Linked DNA regions of Callithrix jacchus. The protein of the gene in region 1 interacts with the protein of each later gene in a biochemical or structural test. Links are inferred from orthologs where the notes say so. Each region holds a gene or a part of one and is shown in the gene's direction. Other genes may lie near its edges.

What was found.
Region 2: the proteins of CUL1 (region 1) and FBXW7 form a complex in vitro, tested with the Homo sapiens proteins (3 studies listed by BioGRID). The link is inferred for Callithrix jacchus from reciprocal best matches to the Homo sapiens genes CUL1 and FBXW7.
Region 3: the proteins of CUL1 (region 1) and CAND1 form a complex in vitro, tested with the Homo sapiens proteins (6 studies listed by BioGRID and IntAct). The link is inferred for Callithrix jacchus from reciprocal best matches to the Homo sapiens genes CUL1 and CAND1.

Annotation. Positions count from the first base shown.
Region 1 is NC_133512.1:99,021,236-99,028,306, reverse strand, and holds the start of CUL1 (cullin-1), read left to right. Parts: upstream 1-3,002; 5' UTR 3,003-3,181; intron 3,182-3,269; exon of another isoform or gene 3,270-3,388; intron 3,389-3,533; exon of another isoform or gene 3,534-3,660; intron 3,661-4,315; exon of another isoform or gene 4,316-4,763; intron 4,764-7,071. UniProt on the Homo sapiens protein: Core component of multiple cullin-RING-based SCF (SKP1-CUL1-F-box protein) E3 ubiquitin-protein ligase complexes, which mediate the ubiquitination of proteins involved in cell cycle progression, signal transduction and transcription.
Region 2 is NC_133504.1:44,160,450-44,167,432, forward strand, and holds the start of FBXW7 (F-box/WD repeat-containing protein 7), read left to right. Parts: upstream 1-2,832; 5' UTR 2,833-3,826; exon of another isoform or gene 3,827-3,917; 5' UTR 3,918-3,993; intron 3,994-6,983. UniProt on the Homo sapiens protein: Substrate recognition component of a SCF (SKP1-CUL1-F-box protein) E3 ubiquitin-protein ligase complex which mediates the ubiquitination and subsequent proteasomal degradation of target proteins.
Region 3 is NC_133510.1:51,920,495-51,927,565, reverse strand, and holds the start of CAND1 (cullin-associated NEDD8-dissociated protein 1), read left to right. Parts: upstream 1-2,965; 5' UTR 2,966-3,310; coding exon 3,311-3,378; intron 3,379-7,071. UniProt on the Homo sapiens protein: Key assembly factor of SCF (SKP1-CUL1-F-box protein) E3 ubiquitin ligase complexes that promotes the exchange of the substrate-recognition F-box subunit in SCF complexes, thereby playing a key role in the cellular repertoire of SCF complexes.

The DNA of each region.
Region 1 (7,071 bases):
CTTTGCACTGGATGGCTAGTTACTTACCTGTGTCTTAGAAATAATCGTTCATATAGTTAGTCAAGTAACACCATACCCTTTCATTTCAGTAGTAAGCAAATTTGCTCGGAATCCGCTTCAGCGTTCTTCAGGCACAGTGCTGAGGGGGCAGATGAACATTACGAAATTGTCTCTGACCCCACAGCACAGACCACCTAGTTTAAAGGCACATGTGAGAAGGCAATCAGGGAGAGGTCACAAAGCTTGAGTAGAAGGTGTAAGGTGGCGGGCTTCCTGGGAGGGGGGTGTGAGCTGGATCTTGAAAAGTGAGCATGAAAAAAAAAAAAAAAGAAAAGTGAGCATGATTTGGAGTTGGAGGAGAGAAGGGGGAACAGTACCTGTTAGAGGAACAACTGAATGGCATTGAGAGTTCCTTTTGGGAAGTAGCAGGAAATAAATTTGGAAAAGCAAGTTAGGACAAGATATGGTAAACCTTAAGTGCCAGGTCCAAATTTGGATTGAACCCTACACACAATATGGAACTACTGAAGTTTGGAAGGACAAAATTATAATGATGAAGGTATCAATTTACAAGGAATAATCTGCCATCAGTCATGACACAAGCGGAAGGATAAAGAAGAGGTAAGAACCAGGAAGAGCATTTAGAAGGTTAAAGAACCAACAAAAGTGTGGGAGAATATCTTAGTAAAGGAGTGGATATATACAGAAGTGAGTCACCGGGTCACATTATGCACTGATCAGGCTGAGCGATTTCACGCAAATTGCCTAACATCTCTGAGCCTTAAGTTTTTTTTAAATGAAAAATGGGTATGATGATAATGACTGACTCAAAACAGGCAAAGGATTTCTCTAGGATGGTGACAGCTCTGGGATACAAGGTGAATGGGCCAGGATTTTGAGTTTGTTTCCAGGTCTGCATGAATTAAAGAATGTGCTATGAATGGCAACAGGCACATTCACTTTGTGGAAGATGAGGGGGGACTAATGGCTGGTGAATGTTCCACGAATTATGAAGAAATTACTCTTTACACTCTTATGATGTAGGTATTTTTATCCCAAATTAACAGTTGACTTAACTAGAGCAAAAATTAGTAATTTGAGTTACTGGATATGACTCAAATTTGAGTAACTGAATATAAACCAAAGCCCACTAAAATCTAAAACTTGGGCTTTTCCAACTAGTACATCATATTGTCGAGTTGAAAGTTGTATTTTATGTCACTGCTTTTGGCCTAATGTTCTAGTCTGTTCAGACTATTTTGAATTTTGATTCTGACATCCATCAAATTAATTATCCCTCCAAACTTTGGGTCATCTGAGAGGGACATCGATTTTGCTGAGCTGGGGGAGAAAGATGGAGGAAGGAGGTTTTAAAGTAGAAAGGGAGCAGCAGGTGGCCTTGACCTGTTAGGCAGGAGGCAAGGTTATCTGCCCAAAGTAAATGCAAATCTGGTTGTTAAGTGGACATAAAAGTCAATGGAATAAATTTGCTGCTAAGAATGATCGTGTAGGCAGGTGAGGGTAAAGAATAGAAAGGAGTTAAGAACCAGGAATCTCGGAGGCAGTGAGAAGAGGGAGGGTGGTGTAGGTGAACCAAATACTCCTATTAAGAAAAAACAGAGGGCAAAGGAAACATACAATAAAGGGAAGGCTGACCCACTCAGCCTTTCTATTAGCTGGAGGAAGTCACAGAATAGGAGGCCAAGAATATTTCCCACCCCAACACCCTGCACAAATGAAAGGATTATGACATACCTAAGTGACAAATGCATTACTATTACAGATACTTAGATGTAGACAAAATACATTTTTTTTTTTGAGACAGTCTTGCCCTGTTGCCCAGGCTGGAGTGCAATGGCATGATCTCGGCTCACTGCAACCTCTGCCTCCCAGGTTTAAGCAATTCTCCTGCCTCAGCCTCCCAAATAGCTGGGACTACAGGTGTCTGCCACCACACCTGGCTAATTTTTTTTATCTTTAGTAGAAACTGGGGGGGGGGGTCACCATGTTGGCCAGGCTGGTCTCGAACTCCTGACCTACGTGATTCGCCCACCTTGGCCTCCCAAAGTGCCGGGATTACAGGCATGAGCCACCGCGCCCGGCCAAGACATTTCGATAGAGGGGATCACATAGACCAGTGGGATGTTTCTTCTGAGACAAACCCATGTTATGCAGTAAACTGTGGACTCTGGGGACAGCCCTCTGCTCTGACTGAGGCCTTCTGTCCCGAGTGGTACTGGAATCTGTGTAGCATTTTAGTTTGGAGGAAACAAAATTACACTCATCACATCTTTTGCCCAGATGACAGAATTCGAAATCCCCCGGGGGTTGTTCGTGGAATGAGCCGCTCGGTGACGTTGTGAGCCGTGCTATTAATCAGCCATCCCTCACTAGGTGCGGGGGGGCCACCACGCTTCCTCCAGCCCGTCACCATAGCAGCAGGTGGCTATTTGTGCTGCCAAAATTAGTATTTAGTGTGAATATTCCAAATAGCCAATTATGACAGTTAATTTCAAATGAGATGACTTCGAACTACACGTGAAAATACTATTTTACATCATGCCTCATGCCATCCCTATATGTAATCAAAGCCTTCTAGTTTTGATTTGTCCTTCCAAAGACCAAGGGTAGAGTAAATGTCAAAATCTGCCAAACAGCAGTTAGTGAAAGAGTCTGAAGAGGGAAAGCCTAGTTAGGTTTGACCTTAGAAGTGATTTTTAAAAAGAGACACATAGATAAAATGTGTCTGGAGCCAAATCCTAAGGCCTGCAGGTGTTAAGGGGGGGGTCGAGAATCAGCTGCACGTTCCTTGGAAGTCCGCGCCGATTCTGGGAGGCACCTGGCCACCTCTGACTTTCTGATCTGTGGTGCATCCCCCAGTCCCGGTCGACAAAAGTGGGGAGTCGAGTTCCAGGCCAGCGGGGGACGGGGGTTGTGCGCACAGGGGAGGGGCAGGAGGACTGCGAGCCCCTCTCCTTTGGGGTGCTTCGGGCCCTTTCTTCAGAGGCTGGTGGTGTCCCCGACCCAAGCAGCTCATTCTCGCTGGCGAGGTCCGAAGTGGCGGGAACGGGTCCTCCGCGGCGGCCCCAAGGCGAGGGAGGCTGTAAAACCTGGCGGAGGATCCAGCGCGCCGGGTCGGGGATGGCTCGGGTGTCAGGGGGCAGGGGCCGTGGGCTCGCAGGTAAAGAGCCCCACGTGAGCGGGGGCCACGGCCACAGAAGGGGCGCCCCCGGGGCGGCGGGCGGGCGGGAGCTTTCCGGGCCCCTCCCGCGTCTCGGGCTGGCGGGGCGATGGCGACGACGGTTTCCCGGCTCCCCCGCCCCGGACGCCGATGGCGGTGCGTTCCGGCCCTCCCCCAACAGCTTCTCCCCCGCGGTCGCCGGAGCCGGTGAGGCCGGGAGGGCGGGGAGCCGTGGAGAGAAGGCGAGAGGGCGGAGGTTGCGTGGTGCAGGCGGCGGCGGCGGCGGCGGGAGGAGGAGGGCCGGGCGGGCAGGGGAGGAGGAGGAGGCGGGCTCCGTGTCGCACGCAGCTCCAGGCGGGGCAGCCCGGGTGGCTGAGGGACGCAGCCAGACCTTGGCGGGACGGGGCTTTCGCCGGGGCCCAGGCCCAGCGACCAGGCGGAGGCGTCGCGGGAGCCTTTTGGGCACTACGGAGATGCGGGTGAGTGTCGGCCGCCGCAGGGCCGAAAGGAGGTGGTGGCGGCGGCGCAGGCCCGGCCCCGAGCCGCGGTGTCGCAGTGACTCGGGCCGCGGTTGCCGAGCCCAGGCGCCGGGCGAGGCCTGAGCCGCCGAAACGCGGCCGGGCAGAATGGCGGCCGGGCCCGGGGGCTCGTGGGCGGAGGACGCCGGGGGCGGCAGGGGAGCGAGCGGGGCTGGGCCCTGAGTCACCCCGGACGGGCCGGGGCGGCCAGGCCCGGACTACGCACTGGGAAAAAGCCCGATTCATCGCGCCCAGAGGCGGCGGCCTGGTGGCGCCGGCCCCTTTCCCCGTCGGGACCGGGCTGGGTCCGCGGAGGCTGGGCCGGCGTATGGCCCCGGGCGACTTGGGCGTTCGCGCCTCGCCTCGTGAGGCGATCTCCGCGGGACACCGGGACCCCATGCCCTTGCCCCTTCTCGCCCTCACGACCACGCTTCTCCTCGGCGCCGCTTTCCGGCCGACGCGTGCCCTCCTGTGAGCCCCGGGCTCGCGCGCGCAACCAGCCGCCAAGCCGGGCTCTCTCGCTTTCCGGTTCCCTGCCCGCGGCTCTCGGGTTCCGCGCCTGCATTATTGCGACCGTGCAGGACGCTATTATTGGCTAACAGCCGTCCTTTTGCCCAGTTGTCCTCGGGGAGCGGGCTGGGCTGGCGCTCAGAGATGGGAGCCCGGCGGCAAAACCGAACGGAGCCCCACGGCGCCCGCCTAGCGCTCGCGAGTCTGGCCGGGCCCTGCGCCGCGGCCTCGGCGCGCCCCCGGCCCCAACGGGAGCGCGCGCCATGACCCTGGAGGTAACCGGGCGAGCGCAAGCTGCGGGGACTTGGGGTCCCCAGGCTCGGGGTTCGTGCGATTTTTGCCCCAAGATCTGAAAGACCCCTGTTTCTGCCACCGGTGCAATATTGTGTAGCGCAGACGTAAGATAATTAAGAAAGAGAGGAATGCTTGTAGACACTGCTTGAAATGAATCCCCAAAGTTAAGGTTTTCTGCCTGGCTGGCTTTGCCAAAAAGAGGATTCTCTTTTCCGACTGGGTCACTCTCGGTTGCTTCTGGTTCGTAGTAGGCGTTCGTGGTAAGTGCACAAATGCTGAATTGCAGTCTTCTTAAATATTTATTTGCTCAGTGTAATTGCTCTTTCCTGTAGTAGCATTAAAATCGTCAAAAGTTCTGAGTGGAGTAAACGATCACACTTTTTGGAATAATCTTAACGAAGCGGCAGAAGAGAAACTAGATTCCTTTTTTACTTCAAGCCAGGAGCTTCTAGGACCTAACGCCTCGCGGAAGTGTGTGCAGTTTTAAGTTTAACACTTCATTTCATGGTGCACCCGAAAATGTACCCAGTTTTTTGAAATCCTGGAGAGTGGATTATGTAGTAAAATATGTAATGACATTTAAAATGTAAAACCAGTCATTTTGTTTGAAAACAATATTTGGCGATGAGATTTTTCTTTGTTTAAAGGAGGTTTTTGGATATTGGAAAATGTTTTACTTCGAGGTTCTATTTGTTGTTTTCCATGGTGAGTCGAAATAGTTGCATTGCATTTCAAATTCCAAAGCATGCAAACACAAGACTGGCTCGCTTTAACTCTATTATGCCCATTTTTGGAGGTTTCAGGAGAGTGTTCCTTAAGCTTGAGAGGGATGGCTGAATTGCTTTCTAAATATGTTAAACTTCTTTCCTCATTGGCTTCATCTTTTAAAAACTGTTTTGTCAGACAACAAACCAACTTTAAATATGCTAGGGTTTTTCACCAATTTGTAAAAGCTTCCTTCCTTGAGAGCCACATGCTCAGGTCCTTCCCCACCCCCCACTCCCAATGTGTGTACCACATCAGAAGACAGACACGCATGCCTGAGCTGATTCTGCATGGTTTCCTTAGATATTATAGTTCATTAGACTCTTGCCACTTACTGAATGTTATCTTCTAGCTGTAATTAACTACAATACAGCCTTATTTCCCATACATTTCCGATTCTGAATTCCTTCAGCGCAGGGGATATTCCCTGTTTATTTTTGCGTCTCCAGAGTAACAACTTGGTTATGGTGGTGCCTCAATTGCTTATTTTTGAATGAGTGAGTTTTCTGGAATAATTCTAACTTAGTGTTTGAAAACATGCCCTGATTGTTGGCTGCAGAAAACACAGTCGTTGCACTTAAGCCGGTTAAGAATGCAAGCTTTATTATACACTTAAGTAAAATCGATTCTCTCATCTCTCCTTTGCCACTCTCCCTTCCCATTTCTCCACTTCGCACCTCCCCACAGCCCCCCAGTATCTAGTACAGGGCCCCAACAGAAAAATGCCCAGGTTTTCTATACCTGTGAAGTCCAGGAAAGTGCCAAGAGAGAACAAGTTGTGAAACTTTAGCTTTCTTTCCCATTAAAACTAGTTTTAAGATGCGGAATTTTTTTTTACTTTTTTTGGAAACACAATCAAACGCGATCAGGATCAGGTCCTCCCACCCCCGGTTGAGTATCCAGCTTTGCCTTTGAAATGAAGCAGTTTGGTAGTTGAGGCGTCTCCTTGTTGGAAAGGTGAGGCCAGCCCCTTGGTTCTGCTGAAGTGGGATAGGAAGTTGCTGTGGGAGGAACCATCCCTGGGTCACTGAGGCCCTTTCATCAGAATATCATTCCTAGTATACCCAGAGGCATTGTGTCTGTCTTTCAGCATGGAAAATTAAAATGAATGTACTTTAAATTGAGGAGTTGTTACTTGCCATTCTTCAAATTAAAAACATTAGGACCATAAGAACTTATGAAGGTGTTTTGGTTTGTTTTGTTTTGCTGTTTCAGCCCTTTGTAGGTCCCAAAGCCATGACCTTGAGTCACTCTGGAATAAAGTGTCTTTGGGGGACTGTCAGGTTCATTTTGAACTTGTTTTAGGTATGTCTGGAGAAAAGAGTTAACCATTTGAAGGGCCAATTCTAAGTTTGTCTTGCTTTTTAAAAATATCTGGGAGTTTATCCGTGTGTTTGCTTTGCAAATGAAGAAATGAACATTAAATGGGAAGTAGATCCAATTTGGGTAAAAGTCTTGTGTTTGCCGAGGACATAATTTCCTCTTTATAGAAGTTTCTTGTTTATAAAATGAACATTGAGTAAGCACACTATAAACAGGATGATAACATTTAATGACTTAAGTTTTTTATTCATGCATGGAGGTATTTCACTTCTAAAAATTCTGTGATGGAGAGATGTAGTCATTTATTTTTGCTTAGGTATAGAGCGTCTTGATTTGGGAGAGAGGACTTGAGTCTAGTTAAAGCTTACCTTTGCAGGGCCAGTATTTGCTCATTTGTGAAATGAGATGGTTTTTTAATTGACATTGTTGATTTCCTTAGGCCCTCAAAGTATGTGGATTCCATGGGAATGCCACAGCTTT
Region 2 (6,983 bases), on another chromosome or scaffold:
TTATATGGTGGTTTCCTTTATAATCACTTATTATACTATATAATTGCTTTATGTATTTAAAGTATATTTCACAATAAAAATGTTAAAAGTAATTAATATACTGTGGATAGCATTTCTGGAGAGCAAAATTTTGCCAGATAATTTAGCTTACACAATCTTTGACAGTAAAACCCACTGATGTGGAATAACAAAACACTGATTGGTTTCTCATTAGAGTTCACTTTCAAGTGTAAAGGTCAAAAACCGTGTTATGTTTTAACACAGTATGTAAATCTTTATCATAAATTGATGAACCAGGGAAAGAACTATTAGCTAAAACTTCAGATTTTTTGGAACTTTGAATTAACTAGCTATTTCTCCTCTGGATTAATAAGCATACAAGGAACTAAAGAGATTCAGACCAAGTTGGAAATTGTGTGAACTTCCTTCTCTCCAGTCTCCAGTTGCAGCTGTTTCCTCCAGTTATCAAGCTGGGTGTTGAGGTGGGTATCTAGCCTAGTAAGCTTAGAGTGCTGTTATTAAATACTTTCTAAGTAGGTGGCTCAGGGCTTTCCTGAGTGCCATTCTGTTCTACAGCACTGAGGCTGTAAGGGGGAGCCACGGACAATGAAAACAGATCAGGCTGCCGAAAAACTCTATGTGGAACACACTTAACTGGAGGTGTTCTCTGCTGGGCTGCAGAACTCTGATGTTTCCACTCTTTTCCGTCAAAGCCCACAAAGCTTAAACTCTCTGAGGTGCTTAGCTTCACAAAATCCCCTAAATCTGTGTGTTTTACTCCTTTAATTTCCACCATTCCCCTGCTGTAATATAGGAAGAGGGGGGAAAACAAAAAATCTTTATATGGTAGCCATGTGAGACCATTACTTTTTGGTCTGATTAACTGTGAGTCTCATTTGGAAGGATGTAGCAGGGGATTGGTCATGTAAAGACAGAAAGATCCAGGGTAATTTAAGCAGGACTTTTTTTTTTTTTTTGAGACAGAGCCTTGCTCTGTCACCCAGCCTGGAGTGCAGTGGTGAGATCTCGGCTCACCGCAACCTCCGCCTCCTAGGTTCAGGTGATTCTCCTGCCTCCGGAGTAGCTGGTGTGATCTGCCCGCCTCCGCCACCGCCTCCCAAAGTGCTGGGATTACAGGCATGAGCCACCGCGCCCGGCCTTAAGCAGGATGTTTAACCTGGCTCTTGCAACTTCAGGTCAAGGGCAGTAAGGTCAGATGCTAAGTCTGTGAGACTCTCCTTGGTTTTGCCACATCCTCCTTTGCCCCTCCCACCACCTTTCCTGTAGCATTTTAATCAACAGGAGCCCTTGGATTTACCCAGTTAAAATATTCCTTAGTTTACCGTTTGCAGATGGTGGTGGCAGTAGTGGCAGAAACCCAGAGCTTCCCAAATTTGTTTATAATACACTTGCTCCTATCTCACCCCTCCTCGAGGTGGAAATACTTGTAATATCCATTACTACTGTTTTCAGAGGAGGTGGAATGTACTAGGGTCCAGCGACATAATTGTGAAATTTGCTTTCATTATTGTTGCTGCTTTAATGTCTTTCTGATACGATTGACCATTCTCATGCTATTCACTCAAGACAGATTTCTCAGGATTCGGATCCTTTTATTAAAAATTTTTTTTCCTGGAGAACTACACTTTAAACTTCATGAGTTTTTACTTGACGTTCCTTTCCAGGATAACGTCTGTAGGAAAAGCTGCACTAATAGTAATAATATTTGTTTTAGAAAGAAAATAACCTTTGAGTCAGACCTGAAACACAGGCCAACATTTCTTGATGACACTGTACACTGATGAACCAAGACGAGAAGCTCTCGAAAGCTCCAAACCGTAAGAAAGAACGATTCGTAAAAGTGTGGCACTACTAATGAAATTCTTCCCTTGAGAGTCAAAAATCCTTCCACAATCTCCCGGATGATGGTTCCCTTCCAATCCTCCCTCCCCGCCGCCCTAAAAATCTGCCCGAGGATGGGTTCCTTCCCCTGCCCAGCATTTCATCTCCTTTTCCACTGAAGACTCAGGTTGTGACTCTGTACTCAGGCCGCACCCCTGTTTCCTTTCATAGCTAGGGGGAGGGGAGGAATGTATTACAACTCATTTTTACAATGCACTGCAGTTTGAAAAGCGCTTGCACTTCCACCATATCCTATGAGCTTCGCGAGTGCCACGTGAGGAGGCATTCATTCATTCATTCATTCATCAAACATTTGCTCTGCCCGACCACACGTTATCCAGCGCTGAGTCTCACCCCACGCCACGGGAAGGGTGGGGCGCTCTCTCCCTGGGGCAGGTGCAGTGGATCAGGCCGTGGGGTAACTCCTCGATCAGTCCGGCTTTTCGAGGGCCTGTTTGGAGCCAAATGCCTCACCTTCGGGTGGTGCGCGCAGTTGCCTGAAGGCGCGGCCTGGGCCTCCTACTTCCTCCCAAAGGAGCAGTCCCACCTGCCCCGCAGGAAACCGCTACAGAGCAAGCTCTCCGGGCCGCCCTCGGGTCAGGGGTAAGATCGGGCGGCAGCTTAGGCTTGTCTCGGCTCCTCCCCTTCCTCTCTTCAGTTCTGACGCGGCCGTAGAGGCTGCAGCAGCGGCGGCGGCGGCTGCAAGTCCCGCGGCCCGAGGCGCACCCACCCGCTCGCCTATCCCCACTTCCTCTTCCCTTGGAGCGTCATCAGAGCGCGCCAGAGGCGCCCAGGGCGGGGTGGCTGGACTAGGAAAAAAGGCCCGCGGAGGAAGCCTCAGAGCGGAAAGAAGAGGGAGGGGGAGGAGAGCGGTTGCTAGGTGACTTGCGTCATCTGCAGGCGCCGCTCTCCTCCCGCCCCTCTCTCTCTAGAGTGAGGCGAGAGCCCCGCACAGAGCGAGGGAGACAGCGAACTGAGCTCCGGGCGCTGCCGCCGCCGCCGCCGCCGCCGCCGCCGAGAGTAAGAGCGAAGGAGCATCCGAGAGACTCAGCCCCTCTGCACTGGCCGCCGCTGAGACCTTCGCCCTCACCTGGGTCAGCGGGAGCCGCGGCCGCACACCTCTCCCCCCCTCACCTTCCCGGCCGGCAGCAGAGGCTGCACACGCCGGAGCCGGAGCCGGAGCCGGAGCCGGAGCCGGAGCCCGAGCCCGAGCCCGAGCCCGAGCCCGAGCCCGAGCCGGAGCCGGCGGCTTGGGGGGCAGGGAGGCGGCTACCGCGGGCCGGGACTGGGTAGCTGCTCCGCGGTGAGAGAACGCTGAGGAGGCGCCGGAGCTTCTGCCTCGTCCCGGGGCGTGGGGCGTGGGACCCCCAAGGTGTAGGGAGGGGGGTCCCAGCCGCAGCGACACATGCAGGAGCCGGGAGCGGGGGCGGCGCCGAGCGGAGCCGGCAGGGTCCCCCGCCTCGCCGCCGCCTCGGCCACCCGCCCGGGTCCGTAGCATCTTGCCCCGGAGTGTATGAGCCGGGGCCCCAACCAAGCTCTGCAACCACCCCCCCGGCCGGGGGGACTGGGACCCCGATGTGAAGCAGCGGCTGGGGCGGCGGAGAGAGCGGGACCGACGCCGCCGTCCTTTCCTCACCTTCCCCCTCCCCTCAGCCCCCTTCGGGGGTCTTCTCCCTTGGCCAGTCGCCGGCCCCCCGGCTCCTTGGCTGGACTCCGGGAGGAGTTCTTAGAGCCCCCCTCCCCCGCCCCAGCCCCCAGGGCGGCGGGGCCGGGGGGGATCCGGGGGGCCGGCCACAGCCTCCGCCCAGAGGAAACTTTATAAAAACAAAATCCAGAGCCTCCCAAACGTGACTGTCCTGGGAGAAGTGGCCCTGGACGGGCAGGAGTCGCAGCCTGAAAAGACCCAGGAAGAGGAAAAGAGGAGGTAAGCGGGGCCGCCGCCTCCTCGCCCCTGGCAGCACGGAAGAGACCCGAGTGGCCGCCTGGTTTAGCGACACGAGCCGCTTCTTCCTCAGGACCGCGCTGCCGCCTCAGTCCGAAGGAGGAAGGGAACCAGCCCACTTTCTCGGCGCCGCGGCTCTTCTCTAAAGTGTGAGTGGCCCCGTGAGAGGGAATTGAGGGGAGAAAGTGGGAGGATGCCGGCGCTTCCTCCTGGAGTTTTGCTGATGTTCCCAGGAGTGTTGGGAGTCACAAGAGGGTCTAGCTTTATTCACAGAAGGGAGAAGGTGTTAGGGAGGCCTGTATTTCGTAACTTTTTAACTCTGTACGAGTAATGCAAGTATGCAGGTTTCTCTTGGAGGAGTTCCTTCTTCAGAGTGAATACTCGCACCTTTCTGGCCAGTAATTGGCAAAGGGAAATTGAGGAAGCCAGAGGATGTGTGCGCACAGAGGCCATCTGTATCTGTAACCTTTTCCTGGTACTGTGGGTGTGTACAGTGTTCTTTTTGTTTCTGGGGTACTCTTATATAGGACCCCCGAAAGCAAAATTCCCTTTTTAAAAAAAAAAATGAAAAAACAGTCTTGGGAGATTTTCATTTAGTACCTATTGATACAGGAGTTAATCTTCTCAGTTCCTGGGTCTGTGTGTCAGGAGACACTGTAACAGATTTCACTTAGGAACTTGATTTCTTAGGAATCACAGCTTATCTGGGGAAGAGCATTTATCACATTAATCATTTTATAAAAGTGATTTTTTTCCCCTTCACCAAGTTTTTATTTTTTTTGGAGTAACATCTTAAATGACAACACTTTTTAATTTTGTTTGAGGTTTTGCTATTTTGTATTGTCTTTATTTCTGTATCAATTTAGGATACACTTTTGATATTTAATTCTTTCAGGAATGACTTTTTCCTTCCATTGTTTTAAAGTTGAAGTCTATAAAACCTTTGACTTGCATTTTAGTAATGTTCTCAAAGTACCAAATTAAAGTTTCATGGAAGTAATTAACATATCATATACAGTCCTTAAGGGTTAAACATAGAGTAGAATTTTATGTAAGCAGGCATAGACAGTACTATAGTGAGAATTGTGGTCCGTCTAGACAACTGTGTGGGCTCCTTCTGTCTGAAGCCACTGCTGAGAGTTGCTTTGTGGTAATGAATGTAAGCCTGGGGTTATCAGTCTATCTGAAGTTCTCCATTCAGGATCTTGATTAAATTTATTTAAAACTCAAACTTAACAATGTTTGGTCCTATTCTTTTAAAGTAATGAGTTCTGCAAGTTTATTAGCCTCTGTATTATGTGACAATTCATTTATAAATTCCATAGGCAATTTATTTATATATTCCATACCTGTGTCCATAAATTTTCAGGACACAGCCAGAGTTTGTGTTTCGAGAAATACCAGAACAAGCCTCAGTTCATCTTTCCTTACTTTTATAGTGTTTTATTATTTCTACCATCAGTTTCTCCAACTCTTGTCTTAGAATAATGTTTCTTATTTCTTTGACCACTTTTTCCTCCTCTGGAACTTCTCCCACTGTACTGTTTTTCTTTAGTTGCCTTACTATGTTTTGGTAAGGAACCTTAAATTCTGTCTTTTAAGTGTGTACTGACATGAAAATATTGAATAGTGGATGTAATGTTAGACTTAGAATCAGAGTCATGTATTTTGTTTTTCACAAAGATATGATAAAGAGAAATGTAGTCATGTAGAACCTGTATTTTGAGAAGGAGGGGAGGACAAACTAAGAAACAAACTGTAGTTTGAATGTAGGTTGCATTCTGTCAAAGTTGCTCACTAACTTTTGGACTACTTGTATTGCTTTAACTATAGATTGGTTAAAAATTTTGGTAATTTTATTTTATGTTATTTTGAGATGGAGTCTCTCTCTGTCACCCAGGCTCGAGTGCAGTGGTGCAGTCTTGGCTAACTGCAACCTCCACCTCCCAGGTTCAAGCGATTCTCCTGCCTCAGCGACCCCAGTAGCTGGAACTACAGGCGTACGCTACCATGTCTGGCTAGTGTTTTTGTATTTTTAGTGGAGATGGGGTTTCACCATGTCAGTCAGGCTGGTCTCAAACTCCTGACTTTTTTTTTGAGATGGTGTTTCGCTCTTGTTACCCAGGTTGGAGTACAATGGCGTGATCTCGGCTCACCGCAACCTCCGCCTCCTGGGTTCAGGCAATTCTCCTGCCTCAGCTTCCTGTGTAGCTGGGATTACAGGCACGCGCCACCATGCCAAGCTAATTTTTTGTATTTTTAATAGAGACGGGGTTTCAACATGTTGACCAGGATGGTCTCGATCTGTTGACCTCGTGATCCACCCGCCTTGGCCTCCCAAAGTGCTGGGATTACAGGCGTGAGCTATCCCGCCCGGCCACAAACTCCAGACTTTAAATGATACACCCACCTCGGCCTCCCAAAGTGTTGGGATTACAGGTGTGAGCCACTGTGCCCAGCCAGAATTTATTACATGTTTGAGTAGAAATGACAAAGTATTTGGGGTCCCTGTCTTTGAGATGCTTTGACTTGTAGGTGGTGGAGACAATCAAACACAAATTGCACGAAGCTACTGGGGAGATAGACCAATATTTAAGATCACACTAGATGTTAGATATTATATGGCACTTTATAGCTGTTAATGTATTTTTACATTTTTCACTAGTGAAATGTTGCTTTTGTGTAGAACTAATTGAAGTGTTAAAGCAATATCTGGAAACATTTCTTTTAGGAAGAAAAGAGCAAGTGGAGACAAAATATTTAAGACTTTTAGAATGGGGAAGCATAAGGGACAGATAAAATTATGAAGTTGGTCTGAAGGGAATACAGATGGAGGTTGTTGAGTAGTGTTAGGGTCAGTTGTGTTTGTGTAGACACATGATTACAGTCAGAGAAGCAATTGAGAAGAGTGTTCCTGAGAGAGTAGTTTCAGATGACTGGGGAGAAATTACATTTTAGGCAAAGCCATTGTGCCTGGATTGGGTTTTTTTTTTTTTTTTTCTCTAGGAACCAACATTTTTACGTCATGGCTATTGAGCTATACAGAAGGAGTGAAAAAGAAGATGCTTAGTGTGTTGCTGGTAGCTTCTTACAAAAAAGAGTTTGGAAATGGGACAGTAAACTTTGTTATGGATGTTAA
Region 3 (7,071 bases), on another chromosome or scaffold:
AACACTATAAAAACAATGCAGGAAATATTAGTTATAAATATTGTTATGATCCACGCAATGTACTAAGCACTTTATATACAATATTTTATTTAACTCTCTTTTTTTTGGAGGGAGTTTCACTCTTGTTGTCCAAGGCTGGAGCGCAATGGTGCAATCTCGGCTCACTGCAACCTCTGCCTCCCCGGTAAAAGCGATTCACCTTGCCTCAGCCTCCCAAGTAGCTGGGACTACAGGTGCCTGCCACCATGACTGACTAATTTTTGTATTTTTTGCAGAGACAGGGTTCACCACATTGGGCTGGGCTGGGCATGGTGGCTCATGCCTGTAATCCCAGCACTTTGGGAGGCCAAGGTAGAGTTATTTAACTATTACAACAATCCTAAGCTTAGGAGTTAAACTCTTAAAACAACCCAGAGGGAATATCCTGATCATCATTTACCCATGAAGAAACTGAAGCTGAGAAAGATGAAAATGAATCCCAGCACTTTGGGAGGCCGAGGTGGGTAGATCACGAGGTCAAGAGATCGAGACCATCCTGGTCAACATGGTGAAACCCCGTCTCTACTAAAAATACAAAAAATTAGCTGGGCACAGTGGCGTGTGCCTGTAATCCCAGCTACTCAGGAGGCTGAGGCAGGAGAATTGCCTGAACCCAGGAGGCGGAGGTTGCGGTGAGCCGAGATCGCGCTGAGCCGAGATCGCGCCATTGCACTCTAGCCTGGGTAACAAGAGCGAAACTCCGTCTCAAAAAAAAAAAAAAAGAAGAAGAAGAAAGAAAATGAATTGCCTATGACACCTAGTAAGTGGCCGTAAACATGATTTATATTTCAGGAATCTGACTCCAAATATCATAGTTCAGCTGGAAATTCAAAAGTAAAAGAATTTACACACAAATCATGAAAAAGACAAACCATGATTTGGCTTCTGAGAGGACACAGGATAAAAGAAAGTATTATTGTTAATATTAAATGACTGAGACCTGAGATCCACACATGCAAAACACAACCTGCCTCTCTCTCTCTCTCTCTCTCTCTCTCTCTCTTTCTCTTTGTGTATGTGTGTGTTACATTAAATATTATGGAAAGTCTGCTCAGAGCAAAAGGAAATTAATTGTGGCTGAAGCACTCAAGGACAGCTCGATAAAAGACATTAATGATGGCAGATGGGTAAAATAAAGGAGAAAGATGGCATTACTGCGGACAAAAATGTATTATAATCATCTATTACATTTTAAATTATTATTATATTTTTTCGAGATGGAGTCTCCCTCTGTCACCCAGGCTGGAGTGCAGTGACATGATCTCCGCTCACTGCAACCTCTGCCTCCCGGGTTCAAGCAATTCTTGCACTACAGCCTTCCGAATAGCTGGGACTACAGGTGCGTGGCATCACACCCGGCTAATTTTTGTATTTTTAGTAGAGACAGGGTTTCACCATATTGGCCAGGCTGGTCTCGAACTCCTGACCTCGTGAACAGCCTGCCTTGGTCTCCCAAACTGCTGGGATTACAGGGGTGAACCACCGCGCCCGGTCTTTATATCACACATATTAAAGTAAAAGGATACATGAGGGCAGATCGGAGTTATGCATGAAATTTAGACACATATTATGAGGCTAAATCCCGTTTCATTTGTTTTATTAACTGCTATTGCCTGACTCTGAAGTATTCAGTAATAGTTGACTATAGAAAAGAATGGTAAAGGTCAGGTAGATTTGATCAGATCTGAGGTATGTGGAAGTAGAGGGCTATTTTGTTGTTTTTAACAAGAGTATCAAGTGAGATTGATTTTTCATCTCTTCACCCAGCTCTCTTTCAGAAAGGCCTGTCAGCTAGCTCCATCCCTAACACTTTTAGGGGTGTTGACCCTTAACTGGCAAAACTTGTGTTTAAAATCCCAAATATTAAACAGATAAAAAACGTAGATAGTAAATACTTCGATAACTCATTTCCAGGGAATTGTATGTCTGAGGGAACAATACACGGCTGCAGGTCCTACGAGGCCACAAAAGCTAACTACAGAGATAGTCTTCAGCTATTTTGAAGACAGTAGGCCTTGACTACCGTCATCTCTCGCATGCCCATTAGTCTTACTACGGTCCTGCTGGCGTCAGAGAGGTGGCTGGCTCTACGACGCACGGAAGGAGTGTGTCCGGCCAGAGAAGTGGGGAGGCTCGGCTGCCTTGGGAGGTGCAAGGAGTAGCGCTAGAAAGTCGCCGTTAGGCCTCTGCCAAGAACACCAATGGATCCGCAATGCGCCTGGCCAAACTGCAGCGGCTTAGCTCTTTTAAACACCGCATAACAGAGAAAGCCTGTATTGGAGAAAATAAGAATCTGCGGCAGAAACGGAATGCGCGGTGATTCAAACATTTTTATACAGCATGGTTCCCTCGCCAGACTGCAAATCCCAGCATCCACTCCTTCCACGGGAGCCAATGAAAAAGCTACAAGTTCCTGCAGCCAATCATATTCTGAGCCAGTGTATCACCCGACTGAATTCTGGGATTTGTGGTTTTCACGTGGCAACATTTACACCATGGTGGTTAAGGCAATACAGGCCACTCGTCTGATCCCAAACGAAACCTCCCTGTTTTAATTCTTATGTTGGTTCTGCAAGCTGACTCCTTAATTGTCGTTACTCCCAGGCTTTCTCCTTCTCAAAGATCGTAATCTTCTTCTCTTAATGTCACTAAATAATCAAATTATTTTCAGATTAAGGCCCACTCGTTCCGCTCATCTCCTGTCCTTTAACCGTCATTTAAAGTATCGCGAGAACAGCCCCTTTTAGTGATTGTCATGCCTCCAAAAGGCGGGTCACGCGAAAATTGACACAGGCTTCAGCCAACCGAATTGTGCTTTAACTCTCGTCTGCAGCGTGCTTGGGCGAGGCCTCCTGAACTCTGACCTTAGCTTTCCGTAGCGTCCTGCGTCTTCCGCCCCCGTCCCCGAGCGAAGTAGGCGGGCTTTGGCCTTTTGCCCTAGGGAGCGAGTGCGGAGGGAGTGGGAGCGAGACGGCCCTGAGTGGAAGGGTCTGGTTACCCTTACTGGCCGTGCTGTACGCCTCGCCGTTCATGAGTTCGTCCTTCCGCGAATAGCGCCGTCATTAGGCTGGTCCGGTAGCCTCGGCTTACCCCGGGACAGGCCCACGCCTCGCCGGGGAGGGGGCAGCCCGTCGAGGCGCCTCCCTAGTAAGCGTCGGCGTCGCGCTGCGACCCTGGAAGCGGGAGCTGCAGCGAGCGAGAGGAGGAGCTCCAGCGGCGGCAGCGGGCGGCAGCTCCATCAGCGCCAGCGGGCGGGATCGAGGCCGTCAACATGGCGAGCGCCTCGTACCACATTTCCAATTTGCTGGAAAAAATGACATCCAGCGACAAGGACTTTAGGTGAGGCCGAGATCCGACTCTCACTCCACCTCTGGGTTCCCCCAGCCGCGGCCCTGGCCGTCACGCAGGCCTTGCCCCACCCCTTCGGCCGCAGCCAGTAGCTTCGCTGCCCGGAGGTCTCTAGCCCACCGCTCCGCTGGCCTTTGGATCCCGGCGGGCCCCTTTCCTCTCCCGGCTTGTAACCGCCTCCCCCATTCGTTCCCCTAGGCCGTTGCCCGCCGCGGTCTCCAGGCCCCTTTTGCGTCTGTAAGCGCCCCCAGACCCTCCCCTGCGCCCCACTGGGAGGCGATTCTCGTGTCTCTGGTAGCGCGAAGGGGCGAAACCACCCACCATTGTAGAGAACGGAGTTGCTCTAGCGGGGAGACCGGGCCCCGGGCCTACCCGCTTGCCATCCTGCGGCGCTAGGCTGCCTTGCTCGCTGGGGCCCAAGCTGGTGGGGGACCCAGTACTCTTCTACCTGCTCGCAGGTGCGCGTGGGCCTGGCTGCATTCAGGTGTAATGATGAACTTTTGCGCTTTTGGCCGATGGGGTTATATACTTCTTTTTTGGATAATTTCTTTTCGTGAAGGTTGGAAGAAGGGGGAGGGGAGCCAGGACGGAGGAAACTTCGCTCGTAGGGTTTTCCCGCCAGCATCACTGTCAGTTCCCTCGTCAGGTAAAACCCACTTAGGAACTCGGGATTTCAGTCTCATATTTTTATATCCAAAATCACTACCAAAGGGGTGAATTGCTGGATCTGAATTGTAGCAGACGGATCTTCTTCAAAAGGAAGCGATGTTTAATACGGAGCTGGTGAATGTGAAGCTTTATTACAGCAATTCTGTTCAGGAGATTTGTAATGTTCCAAATTGTTGTAATATGCATAGTGAAGATTTGTTATATTTTTACACGTTATCTTTTTTCCTTTGTATGCTATGGTGGTTGTTACATTCTTACCCATCTCCCATCTCTTCACAAATGTTCTCGACCTAAAAAAAAAAAAGAAAAAAGGCTGCTTATTTCCTTATACCTGTTTTGTTCTCTAATGCTTCACTGGTTGTAATTAGGGTGCACTTTAAAGGAAAGAACAAATAGTCCTCAACTAAAATTGTGGCTAAAGAGCTTGTTTGTTTTATATGAACAATATGGTTTAACTCCTGAAAATATGTCCAAACCGTGTGGGAAGAACTTTTCAGATTTGTGAACGGAAAACCATGAAAAAGTAGTAGTTGTATTCCTGATTAAATTGATAAACTGGGTTGTTAAAATAGTCAATGACCACAAAACATCGTATTACTTAAAAGCTTCCTAGATAGAAATATTTTTTTAAGTGTTGTATTTAACACTTAAAAACCAGTTTGCTAATGGTAAAAATTTTAATATTGTAACTTTTGGGAGGTGACATAGATTTGTTTTATGTATTTTAGATTTGTTTAGTTGTAGGGCCGAAATTAAGATTCTTGGGGGAAATAAGTTTTGTGTTGTTTTACGGATTGGAATGCTGTTTGATTCTCTTTGGGGCTTTGCTAGCTTCCGATTGAAGTCAAAGATGTGTGGCGTGATTTCCTCCCTCTTGCTGTCAGTTTGGCTCATCCTGTAAAAGTGGTAAATTTTATTCTGATTGTGGTTAGTTTCAGGCTAAAGGTAACACTTTATAATAATAGAATTTTGTTCAACTAGTACGACTTCTGTATGGGTAATAAGTTTAGAAAGGCTAAAGAAATTATGTGGTGATACCATACATGTGATTATTGACTAAAGCTTGCTTTCTTAAATTTCCTGGGAAAGAAAGATAACATATACATACCTAGTTTTTTTAAAATAAATTATATGAAAGAAATAATCCTCTATGAAATGACAGTCAATGCCGAATTTGATAAAGATTATGAATTTTGGTTGTACCGAATCAACATTGCCTGGAGGATTGGTGTTAATATTAATATATTCCTAATAGTTCGTGAATGTTAAAGGTATGTTTAAAAGCAGTAAGTGATTTTCAGTAATTTGACAAAATTAAGGTTTTTTTAACTGTGTTCTAAAAAACATTTTTATAATATGCTGTAGCCATCTAGTTAATACACAAGTCTTCGGAATTAAAGCACTTTATGTATTCAGTTTAAATAGACGTTTAAGAATTAAAATAGTGGCCGGGTGCGGTGGCTCAAGCCTGTAATCCCAGCACTTTGGGAGGCCGAGGCGGGTGGATCACGAGGTCAAAAAATCGAGACCATCATGGTTAACATGGTGAAACCCCGTCTCTACTAAAAAAAAAAAAAAAAAATACGAAAAATTAGCTGGGCATGGTGGCGCGTGCCTGTAATCCCAGCTACTCAGGAGGCTGAGGCAGGAGAATTGCCTGAACCCAGGAGGCAGAGGTCACGGTGAGCCGAGATCGCGCCATTGCACTCCAGACTGGGTAACAAGAGCGAAACTCCGTGTCAAAACAAACAAACAAACAAACAAACAAACAAAAGAATTAAAATAGCATTTGGAGTCAAGTATTTTGAAATTTTTTCTGATATTTTTAGTATAGGCATTTATTTTAATACATTTGTTCTTTTTTAAAAAAAATAATGCTTTGTTCTCTTTAGAAGTTTATTTTGGCTTAAATACCAAGATTTGTGGCTGCATATTTAAAAATACCTAGCACTAGAAGGATCTTGAGGGCAAGGTTAATTAACATTATGGAATGACCACTATATGCAAAGCACTCTGCCTGTACTAAGGACTAAGAAAGAAAACAGTGCTGCCAAAATGAAGGGCCAATTTTATTCTCCTCTTGGTAGAGTCCAAAGAGAATTTGACCTAGTCACAAGATCTGGGTTCTAATCATGCCTGAGTCTTTGTTATCAACTGTAAGATTTTATGCAAACTACTTAATTTGAGATTTTCACTTCTGGGAGGCGTGGACATGACTAATTACAAAAGGTTGCTTATAGGCATAAAATTTCAGGTCTATTTAGATAATTACGTTGTCCATTAATGCAGAGAAGGTAAAGGAATGAATGCAGGCTTAAAAATTTGGAAATTTCAGCATTTTAAAAGAGTCTTTTTGTAGGACTTAATAGATTCAATTTATTGAAAAAAATTGCCAAATATTTCTTTTGTGTTTTAGTATTGGACATTATTTAAAAGTTGGGATATTAAGACTTAGGAGAAATGGGGAAAGCATTAGGATGAGAAATGTTGATGTTAGGAACCCTGATGCCATATACAGAGTTAAAAAAAAAAAAAGACTAGGAGCTCTTTTAGGGGGAGGCATTTGTGTGTTCTAATGACCAGGATAGTGCCTGTTACCTACTAGCCTTGGTTTAGTGAAAAGTTATTATTTTTAAAATAATGGATGCTAATTCAAATAAACCTTCCAAAGAAAAATGAAGAAACATTCTTTGGGACAGTACCTTAGAACAGTGCTTCTCATCACTTCCTCCCAAAAAGAAACACTTTTGGAGTATACAGAGACTTTTTGCCAGAAGAGATTGACACCAGTTTATATAGTTATTTTAAGGACCTCTAGGGATGCATGTTCCATAAAGGAGTAAAGAGTTACAATGTAGCCAATAGGTAGGGGATTTCCTGGATACCATAGTGAAAGCTTTAATGTGGATGAACCATGTGACACTCTGTGAGTATTAATATTGAATATTCAGTGGCTTGAGGTAACTAAGTTCTGTTCTCTCTCTCTCTCTCTCTCTCTTTCTTTCTTTCTTTCTC